3 linked regions of the Arabidopsis thaliana genome follow. The protein of the gene in region 2 interacts with the protein of the main gene of each other region in a biochemical or structural test. Each region holds a gene or a part of one and is shown on either strand. Other genes may lie near its edges.

Evidence for each region.
Region 1: of the proteins of AT1G08590 (region 2) and LHCA1, one has a biochemical effect on the other in vitro, tested with the Arabidopsis thaliana proteins (one study listed by BioGRID).
Region 3: of the proteins of AT1G08590 (region 2) and AT1G54410, one has a biochemical effect on the other in vitro, tested with the Arabidopsis thaliana proteins (one study listed by BioGRID).

What each region holds. Positions count from the first base shown.
Region 1 is NC_003074.8:20,339,062-20,342,818, reverse strand, and holds LHCA1 (chlorophyll a-b binding protein 6), read left to right. Parts: upstream 1-1,642; 5' UTR 1,643-1,896; coding exon 1,897-2,087; intron 2,088-2,400; coding exon 2,401-2,503; intron 2,504-2,590; coding exon 2,591-2,879; coding exon of another isoform or gene 2,880-2,938; exon of another isoform or gene 2,939-2,970; coding exon 2,971-3,113; 3' UTR 3,114-3,315; downstream 3,316-3,757. Other genes in the region: CXIP1 (CAX interacting protein 1), read left to right, coding at 448-969. UniProt on the Arabidopsis thaliana protein: The light-harvesting complex (LHC) functions as a light receptor, it captures and delivers excitation energy to photosystems with which it is closely associated.
Region 2 is NC_003070.9:2,716,820-2,720,576, forward strand, and holds the start of AT1G08590 (Leucine-rich receptor-like protein kinase family protein), read left to right. Parts: upstream 1-1,718; 5' UTR 1,719-2,039; coding exon 2,040-3,757.
Region 3 is NC_003070.9:20,309,126-20,312,882, forward strand, and holds AT1G54410 (dehydrin family protein), read right to left. Parts: upstream 1,726-3,757; 5' UTR 1,477-1,725; coding exon 1,180-1,476; 3' UTR 1,179-1,179; intron 914-1,178; 3' UTR 348-913; downstream 1-347. Other genes in the region: AT1G54420 (uncharacterized protein), read left to right, coding at 2,494-2,513, 2,951-3,293. UniProt on the Arabidopsis thaliana protein: Intrinsically disordered and metal-binding protein. Binds to the divalent cations cobalt, nickel, copper and zinc, but not to magnesium, calcium, manganese or cadmium.

The sequences.
Region 1 (3,757 bases), on a different chromosome or scaffold from region 2:
TATATGTTGTCCACCAAAAAACAAATTATGTTGATTGGAGAAGTTATATGATAAGTTTTAATCGTTTATGGGGTTTTATAGGTGTGTAGAGATATATACATACCTTGTGAATGAAGAAAAGAGAACTAGCTCTGTGTTGAAAAACTGAAAAGCATTTGATGCCCTGATAATTTCTCTAAAATTATTAAACCGAAATACTAATACGATCCAAGTGGAACCAACCAATTTCTTAATATCTAAAATACCGGAATCTAAAGAGTCGAACCAAACCGAACCGGAATGTCCTCTAATTTTTATTTTTAAACCCATGATTATGACATGCACTACCGGCTTAGTGGTGATGTTTGGCAACATGGTTTATTCAATTCTCACTCGCACTGAGTGTCTGTGGCTCATAAATCATTTACCTTTTCAATTTCTCAATTCCAAATCTAAAAGTCGTCAAAAATGGCTCTCCGATCTGTCAAAACGCCGACCTTGATAACTTCGGTCGCCGTCGTCTCCTCCTCCGTTACCAACAAGCCTCACTCTATCAGATTCTCTCTTAAACCAACGTCGGCACTCGTCGTCCATAACCATCAGCTATCGTTCTACGGTTCGAATCTCAAGCTGAAACCAACTAAATTCCGATGCTCAGCGTCGGCTCTTACGCCGCAACTTAAAGACACGCTGGAGAAACTGGTGAATTCGGAGAAAGTGGTTCTGTTTATGAAAGGAACGAGAGACTTCCCGATGTGTGGATTCTCCAACACTGTGGTTCAGATTTTGAAGAATCTGAATGTTCCTTTCGAAGATGTGAATATTCTGGAGAATGAGATGTTGAGGCAAGGACTTAAAGAGTATTCGAATTGGCCGACGTTTCCTCAGCTTTATATCGGCGGTGAGTTTTTCGGTGGTTGTGATATTACTCTTGAGGCGTTTAAGACTGGAGAATTGCAGGAAGAGGTGGAGAAAGCTATGTGCTCTTGATCCTGATTTCAATACTTGGTTTTTGTGATGATGGAATTTGATCTTATCTATCTATCTATCACCTGGGAAAAAAAATGTGATTTTGATGTTTCAGAGTTTGTGGTTGTAACATTAAGAGACATATATTGTATGATGGATTTAGGTATACAACAGTTGGAGTTGCTTGGAATTTGAGTTTCCTTTGTCATATGTGTTGGCCTGCAAATTTGTGTTGTTTGTTGAAAGGTTTATGTGTGAAGTAGTGCTAGTAGAATCTAAGTTTGTTTCTGACTAAGAGACATGAAGTCATGGGTTGTTATGCTCATTCATATCCTGATTGAGATACAATTTAAAGAAACTTAGTTCCAAAGATTCTGAACATTCACCGGTACAGTGTGTCTGCAAATGGTATTCTGTCTCACTTCAATGTCTAAACACGTTGTCTCAAAATGTATCGTTTGTTAGATACTCCTTTCAAGACATATGATTTAGCCTCGCATGTGTTCGTTGATCCAAGTTTTACCGGTTTGATAAGTCTCCAGTCTTAGCAATAAATCCAGACCGGATTCATGACCAATCGCAGATTTACCGGTCCGGGTCAAGTTTTAAAACATTAGTAGAAATGTGTTTCACCGAACAGGAAGACTTATCTGATAGCATCTCGTTGCAGTGGATAAATGGCAAAATAGTAATATACGTAGATTCTGCTTTTATCTGAACCACATAGTGCAGATGGATATCGAACAGAAGAACATGATATCGAGAAGACACGTGGCCCAATGAAAAAGCCACGCAGGCTCTGTATAGCCAATTGCAATCTGGTTTTAGATTCTCATCTCACAAATCTTACTTATACGATCAGTCTCCCACATTCACACTTCCACCAAACACCTCTCGTCCACATCTTTCTCCTTTGGTGGCAAACACAACGACAGATAGAGAGAAACGATGGCGTCGAACTCGCTTATGAGCTGTGGCATAGCCGCCGTGTACCCTTCGCTTCTCTCTTCTTCCAAGTCTAAATTCGTATCCGCCGGAGTTCCACTCCCAAACGCCGGGAATGTTGGTCGTATCAGAATGGCTGCTCACTGGATGCCTGGCGAGCCACGACCAGCTTACCTTGACGGTTCTGCTCCTGGGTACGCTTCGAACCCTTTTACTCTGTTTTGTTGCTCAGTTTGGAATCAGAATTGTTTGTTAGATTACTCTGTTTTGATGACATGATGCAACATTGTACGTTTTGTGAAAGATTCAATTTTTTTTATGTTATTGGGTATTCATATTTCAGAAAGTTGTCTCCTTTCAGAATTTGAATTCCCTTTAGTTGTGTATTCAGAGATTCTAGATAGATTACTGGAACCTCTTTTGATGACTTAAGGGTTCTGATTTCAACATTGGAGGTTGTTTAGAAAGTTTCAGTTTTTCTAAGTTATTGGGTACAACATTGTGCAGTGACTTTGGGTTTGACCCACTTGGACTTGGAGAAGTTCCAGCGAACCTTGAGAGATACAAAGAGTCAGAGCTCATCCACTGTAGATGGGCTATGCTCGCTGTTGTAAGTTTCAATATCCAATCTTTGTCTTATCATAAGGGTTTAGTCTTGTTAAGTTTAATCTAATGGACTTGGTGGGTGGTGTTGTAGCCTGGGATTTTGGTACCAGAAGCATTAGGATATGGAAACTGGGTTAAGGCTCAGGAATGGGCAGCACTACCAGGGGGTCAAGCCACTTACTTGGGAAACCCAGTCCCGTGGGGTACTTTGCCCACAATCTTGGCCATTGAGTTCTTAGCCATTGCATTTGTTGAGCACCAGAGAAGTATGGAGAAAGACCCTGAGAAGAAGAAGTACCCGGGAGGCGCATTTGACCCTCTTGGATACTCGAAGGACCCCAAGAAGCTCGAGGAATTGAAAGTTAAAGAGATCAAGAACGGTAAGCACACACAACAACTTACCTTTCTTGATCAAACTTATGTACAAATGTATATCTAATGTTGGTGTTTTTTGCTTGGTGGGTGTAACAGGGCGGCTTGCGCTGTTGGCGTTTGTAGGATTCTGTGTGCAACAGTCGGCTTACCCGGGGACAGGACCATTGGAGAACTTGGCAACTCACTTGGCGGATCCATGGCACAACAACATTGGCGATATTGTTATCCCTTTCAACTAATGAATGTAAAAATAGAAATATGTGTACCTTATGAGCTTTATGTGTATCAAAAACACTGTGTAATGAAAGACAGATTTGTGAATTCCTGTAATTTGTCTTGGTGATCGAATGCTCGTGTGAGCTTGAATTCTAAGTGATGAACCTTTTGAACCCAAATACACATTACATCTCATGCTTCCTACAGAAGAAACATTGTAAGCTCATGACTATTTGTTAGATTTCTCAACAATCACATTCACATACTATAAACTCCATAACAGAAGAAACATTGTTAGCTCATGATTATTTGTTAGAGTTCTCAACTCTATCCAAATATGCTTTTTGTTTATATCAACTTAGATAAATGGTTATTGAACCACACCAAGATACATGCATTTTACATTTGAGTTTTGATGAATATTTTCTATTCATCTTTTTTCCCCCTCATTTTTACCTTCTACATTTTTTCATATTGAACAAAAACAATCCTGTTAATTTTCTTCCCTCTCTTTTCTAGTAAAATCATTTAAGGATTTTTTTTGAAATTAGTTGATGTCTTTCTTATCACATTTGTTCTATACTTCTACTAATTTTTCTTTTGTTCTTTTGCATACTAATCTTCACCTACAAAATAGAGTACTCTCTAAACAGAGTCTTGGAAAGTT
Region 2 (3,757 bases):
TTCCATTCGGTATTTTATATTTTAAAATGTTGATTATGATAAAAAGTCCCATATGGGTGCATGTGAAATATGAAAGGGCATATTATAAAGTTAGATTTGAGCAATTATTTTTTCCTTCTTATGAATATGATAATAGAGGATAAATTTGAAAGGACAAAGAACTTTAATTAGAGGTACTGTCCATATCTACCTTGCAAACCTACAACAATTAAATGTGTTGGACGAACCGATAGTCGATACTCGATAGTCGATAATGGATATATATGCTCGAGGTACGTAAAATTTAGATGTTAATCCGCAAGAATATATAGAGTTGTGCTAGATGTATTAATTAAGATATCGATCTCCAAAAAGTCTATACACTCACGAGAATATGTTTCATATAGTTTTTGGGATCAATTATGGTGATTCTTCTAATGTGAACATGATTCATTCATTTAATGGGTATATCCGATCGAATATATATGTTTTAGATTTTAAGAACAAAATAAAAATGATAGATGGCCCTTTTCGATGGTTCTAAACTTTATTTTGATATCGTGAGAGCACTTAATGCTACTTTGTTCTTCACGCAATCAGCATGCATATTTACTCACAAGTTGCAACCACACGAATATAAACAAATTCGGTTACGGACTTAGGGCTACATATTCAGTTACGTCTTGATGTCATATGCATAGTTTATTGAAGCTCCTTGTCTAAAAATGCATTAATATGCAAACTTTATGCATATATCATATGTATGGCCTTAAATCTCTCAACTCAAACTAATATACAGAGAAAAAAAAATTCTGATAATCGTATTTTGAAAAACATTAAAATCTGTGTTTATAAGATCTAGAAAAACATATATGTCTACATGAATGCAATAATTTAATTAATGTATTTGTATTTTTTTTTTTCAATGCATGTGTAAGTAGATATATTTGATGTATGTATATCTCTCTAGTCTCTACGTAGGTGTCATGGGACGTTCCTAGCTACTTGCAACTTGGCAATGGAGTTATGAACTTTCTTATTTCCTAATTTTAATTATGTTGGAACAACGTGGGAAGATTCTCTCACGACCATCATCTTTCATGTGTGTTTTTTTAATGACGCCATTCGAAACAAAACATTCTCCCGACTAATGAAGACATGCGGAAACTCAACCTAGCTCGACCGCCAAGGATGATATAACTAACCTTATAACCAATAAAAACTTTGCGTTCTTTAGTTACTCATATTTAAGTGAAGTTAAATCATTTGTAAAAAAACATTGTTTGTGTCAAATCATTGGTGAGGTAGAACTAAAATGGTAGTTTTCTTAAAAGACTTTGATCTTGCCTAATTAGCCATCATCTTTGAATAGAAAATAGTTATATTGGACAGTAAGTGAGACACATTCTCTGCCCATGTTTCACTGTCCCACAAATCTCTAATGAGGACAAAGCTTTACAAGTCACTCAGTGTTTTATGATTTAGCTAGCTGTTCAGAAACCCACGATTTCTTCATATTATATATCCCATTATCATTATTTTAATCTTCTTTCTCACCGCTTAGTTGTTTGATATTGCACAGATCAGCAAGATAATCCTTCAGGATATGGTTATGGAATTAGTGCTCCTCAAAATTTTCGGTTCGACTTTATTCACAATTTAGCATTTGGGTATGCATATGAAACAAACTTATAATCTAATTTCGTTTTCTCAAACACAATTCACAATTTAACACACGAAGATAGATGAAAACATCAAGGAAATTGTATCACTTTTTCTACTATGTAATGTCACAGATGCAGAAACAAAGCGAACTACTTGCTATCATACAAATTGTTATGACGCCAATGGAACTCGCATATTATTCCACCGAACGAAAAAGAAACACAATCATGATAAAATAATTGAGAGAGATTAAATAAAATTAGATTCTGACTAATCATTGTTTTTCAGCTTTTGGTTTCCACTCTCTTATTATCAACTTCGCTTGGGGACCTTCAATCTCAGTTGCACAAAAATGCCATAAAACTAGCCAAAAAGTGAAGAAATAGAGGAGAAAAATGGCGATCCCTCGACTTTTCTTCCTCTTCTATTACATTGGTTTCGCTCTTTTCCCTTTTGTTTCTTCTGAAACATTTCAAAACTCCGAACAAGAGATCTTGTTGGCCTTCAAGTCAGACCTTTTTGATCCTTCAAATAATCTCCAAGATTGGAAGAGACCTGAGAATGCCACAACATTTTCTGAGTTGGTTCATTGTCATTGGACAGGAGTTCACTGTGATGCAAATGGCTATGTGGCTAAGCTTCTTCTCTCCAACATGAATCTCAGCGGAAACGTGTCAGATCAGATTCAGAGCTTCCCTTCTCTGCAAGCCCTTGATCTCAGCAATAACGCATTTGAGTCTTCTCTTCCTAAATCTCTTTCTAATCTCACGTCTTTGAAGGTCATTGATGTGAGTGTGAACAGCTTCTTTGGAACCTTCCCTTATGGTCTAGGAATGGCAACTGGTCTTACACACGTCAATGCCTCAAGCAACAATTTTTCGGGGTTTCTACCTGAAGATCTTGGCAACGCAACTACACTTGAGGTTTTGGACTTTCGAGGAGGTTACTTCGAGGGCTCAGTGCCTTCTTCTTTCAAGAATCTCAAGAATCTGAAGTTTCTCGGTCTTTCGGGTAACAACTTTGGTGGAAAGGTACCGAAGGTGATTGGTGAGCTCTCTTCCTTGGAGACCATTATTCTTGGTTACAATGGCTTCATGGGTGAGATTCCAGAAGAGTTTGGGAAATTGACGCGCCTTCAGTACCTTGATTTGGCTGTTGGAAACCTTACAGGCCAGATTCCATCTTCTTTGGGGCAGCTGAAACAACTTACAACAGTTTATCTCTACCAGAACCGTCTCACAGGGAAACTTCCTCGAGAACTTGGTGGTATGACTTCTCTTGTGTTTCTTGATCTGTCTGATAACCAGATCACAGGAGAAATACCTATGGAAGTAGGTGAGTTGAAGAATCTGCAGCTTCTAAATTTGATGAGGAATCAACTCACGGGAATCATTCCGTCAAAAATTGCTGAATTACCAAACCTTGAGGTTCTTGAGCTGTGGCAGAACTCTCTCATGGGTTCATTACCGGTGCATCTCGGCAAAAATTCCCCATTGAAGTGGTTAGACGTCTCATCAAACAAGCTTTCAGGAGATATACCATCAGGATTGTGCTATTCCAGAAACCTCACAAAGCTCATTCTCTTCAACAACTCATTCTCAGGTCAGATTCCGGAGGAAATCTTCTCATGTCCGACTTTAGTTCGTGTTCGAATCCAGAAAAATCACATTTCCGGATCTATACCAGCTGGTTCAGGTGACTTACCAATGCTTCAGCATCTAGAGCTCGCAAAAAACAACCTCACCGGTAAAATTCCAGATGATATAGCCTTATCCACATCACTCTCATTTATAGACATATCATTTAATCATCTCTCATCCCTATCTTCCTCCATTTTCTCAAGTCCTAATCTTCAAACCTTCATTGCCTCACATAACAACTTTGCCGGAAAAATTCCTAACCAGATTCAAGATCGTCCATCTTTGTCTGTCCTCGATCTTTCCTTCAACCATTTCTCAGGTGGAATCCCAGAAAGGATCGCTTCTTTTGAAAAACTTGTGAGTCTAAATCTCAAGAGCAACCAATTGGTTGGAGAAATCCCTAAGGCATTAGCCGGGATGCACATGTTAGCTGTTCTTGATCTCTCAAACAACTCTTTGACGGGGAATATACC
Region 3 (3,757 bases), about 18 Mb from region 2:
GCTATGAATGTATGATTGGTTTCATTTATAAAAGCTCGTCTGTAAACGAACCGCTCAAAGCCTCAAACTAGTTGACAATTCATTTATTGAAAATGGTAGAATCTTATTTTTGGTGGTTGAAATAATCAATTCCAACCACTGTGAAAGAAGCAACGTTAGGTTTTGAATCAGAGATTGAGAAAAAAAAACTCATGTCGGTTTGCTTATGTTTTTGGCATTGGATTCTATTATTTGACAACAACAAAAAAGGAATATATAAACTTTTGGTTTTATTTTTACTTTTTACTTTTTCTTTTGATGATAAACTTTTAGTTTTCAGAAAACTGATTAATGTTTCGGAAAACATTATTGAGAGCAAACACTAACAAATACTTTTTCTTGTAGAAGGCCATTGTCATGAAAACAAGTTTTCTTTCTAAAGAAAAAAAATAATTTCGCTTTGGTCAAACATCAAACTTTTTTTAATTGTTTTTTTCTTCTCAAACATCTATTATCATTTGACAATCATTTAAGTTCATTTACTGAATGGTGTATGTATTGTTAAAAAAAATTTTTTTTACTCTTTTAGTATACGTGAAACCTATCATCTATATATGTTTATCAACAAGTTTTGATCTTCTCACTTTTTTTCAACAGATAAAAGTTTTGATCTTCTAAAGAAACATAGATCCCAAGTTAAAATTAAATAACAAGTCTTACAAGTTATGATTCATCAAATTATTATTTTTGATTTAGATAAGATACATGAGCATAATTTTCATGACAAGAAAACAGAAACATAACAAACAAAGATAGATGCACGGTTCTCCTGTCTTTAACCTCTCTCTAAGATGATAAGAACATACAGCAACATTAATTAATAATAGCCAGAACCAGATCTGTTTTATTCAAGCGATCCTCCTCACTTCCTCACCTACAAATCAACAAACATTTAATAAATTAAACAGTTATTGAATATAGTACATCCTAAATAATATATTAGTCTTTTTTTTTGTAAGATCCAAATCTTGATTATTTAAGTATAGGAAAAAAAAACCTTAATCTTATATCTACAACTAATTAACACGTAGTTTTTTTTCAAGATCCAAACCGTTTTGTTTTTTGGTAAACCAAGATCCAAACCTTATTAGTAAATATTTGTTCATGATTTATGTATATGATTAAGAAGTTATAAAAACCTTAATCGCTGTCGCTGTCACTGCTGCTGCTGTGGTGACCATCATCATGATGTTTCTTCTCCTTCTTGTCCTTCTTCTTTTTCTTCTCACCGTCGTGGCTTTTGCCTTCTCCGTCGTGGCTTTTACCTTCACCACCGTGGATCTTGTCTTTGATCTTGTCAACAATACCTTCTTTGTGCTCACCACTCTTGTGCTCGTCAACGTGTTTCTTGTGTTCCTCTTCCTTCTTGTGCTCACCTTCCTTGTTGCCTCCTCCAATGTGGAGTGCGTCTCCGATCTTGTTGATGAGTCCTGCCATATCTTTCTTTTTTCTCTTTCTTTTGTATTAAATCTCTCTTTTATGTGTTTGGTTGCTTTGACGATAAACTTGGATCTCAAAGGGTCTCTATTTATAGCCCAAAATGGATAATTAATACTAATCTATCACTATCAATGAGATATTATTATTGGTTTGTATTTTTCTTAGAGATTACTTTATAGTAGAAAGAAAGATATATGGCGTGGCGAAGATAAGATTAATTCTTCCAATGTGCTGTACTGGTTCTTTAACTGGAAATAATGATACAATTAATTGGGGTAGATTATATTCCTTTAAAAGAAAGAAATATTATATTCTCTTAGATATTTTCAACTACTATGTGGTTGCAATTTTTATTTCTTTTAGATATTTTTTTTAAATGATTCTGACTATGTCCATATTAGGACCATAGTATATAATTTGAAGGCATATAGTATAGATGGGATTAAAAGAACTAAAATTTGGATTTAAACAAACTAACTCAGACGTGTGATTATATATTTGTTTAAATAGTTTTGTTACTTTGCGACCCAATTCAAATGCATAATCCGATTAAAACAATAAGATGTCTCAAGAAACAATCTAGTAAAATTTATAACCAAAAATGAAATATCAACCAAATTAGACTCTTAGAAACACATTTTAATCTCAAAGAAGTGAAGGTTACATTCCAAGAAAATAACCACCCAGTTCTTTGAAATAGACTTCAAGTTTGAACTCTTTAGTTTCAACTACCCAGTTCGTATCGTCTTTATAATTTTAGTGAAAATTTCGTGAAAAAAAAAGAATTTTAACCAGTGGCAATTATATCGAATGAAATTGAAAATCTTCGATTTTGAAAGTTTATTTCAAAGAACAATATTGTTTGGCAAACATAGAAATATGAGAGAAATGGATGAAGACAATCTTCATAATGTGATAGGTGCTTGCTTGACAATTCATATACATCTTAGAAAATAGAACCCTTTTCGTTTTGTAAGAAAAAGTTGACCAAAATAATATCCAAAGTTCCAAACCATGTGGGTTAAACCGTTAAGGTAAGTTGTAAAAAAAAAAACCGTTAAGGTAAATGCGCGCGTATGATTTGTCGTGTAGTGAACTATGAATAAATGCTAAATATGGTCGGCCACTACATTATATTCTCATATTCCAGAATCCTTTGTTATATATTGCTGTGTCGGCAATAATATGAATGACTTTGAAAAGTATACACAATAATGCAATATATATGTAAGTAATTATTTTCATTAGGGAGGAGACCCGCGCGTTGCACGGGGTGGTTTGTTTTTGGTTTTGTTAGTATGTAATTATAACTTCGATTTTTTTTACTGATCTTTGATTAAAAGGGGAATATCTTTGTTATTTGCACCCCTCATTTTAGTTCGGCCCAAATCAAGAATAAACTAATCAACATCAATCCCAAAAAGCCCATAAAAGTTGGTCCATATCACCAGCTTAGTTTTTCTATAAATAGAGAGGCATCTCAAGGAAAAAAGGAGGAAGAAATCCATATTAAAACGTCTTCAAGCTCCTCAGCTCGTTCTCTAGCTCCTCTGCTCGTCCTCAAGCTTATCCGCTCGCTCTCAAGCTCCTCAGCTCGTCTTCAAGCTTCTCAGCTCGTTCTCAAGCTCCTCTGCTCGTCCTCTAGCTCCTCTGCTTGTCCTCAAGCACTTCAGCTCGCCCTCAAGCTCCTCTGCTGGTCCTCAAGCTCCTCAACTGGTCCTCAAGCTCCTCAGCTCGTCTTTAAGCTCTCCAGCTCGTCTTTAAGTTCAGCTCGTCTTCAAGCTCCACCACTCAACGACCATCTCCTCGCCTAGCTGTCAGCTAGTCAGCTCGTCCAATTCCTCACTTAGTCGTTAGCTCGTCCCTCAAGTGCATAAATCTATCTCCTCACCTAGCTGCCAGTTCGTCCATTGACTACACAATCCGCCTATCTCGTCTCCCAGCTCGTCTATACTTTCACCAGAACTCGATTTGTCCGGCTCGTCTCTCTACTACATTTCGTCTAGCTTGGCCCCTGGCTACCAGCTCGTCACTCAAATACTCAGTTCGTCTAACTCGTTGTCTATCAACCAGTTCGCCTCGTAACTAAGTTCGTCCAGCTCTTCGCCTACCTGCCAGCTCGTCACACATCTGCTAGCTCGTCGCCTAGCTGCCAGCTCGTCACCAACCTGCCACCTCCTCTCTAAACTGCCTATCTCAATATACGACCTACCTCCAACGATGACCTAGCTCACTTATTATAATATGAACTACGTATTCTGACCAATTTTATTTGTGG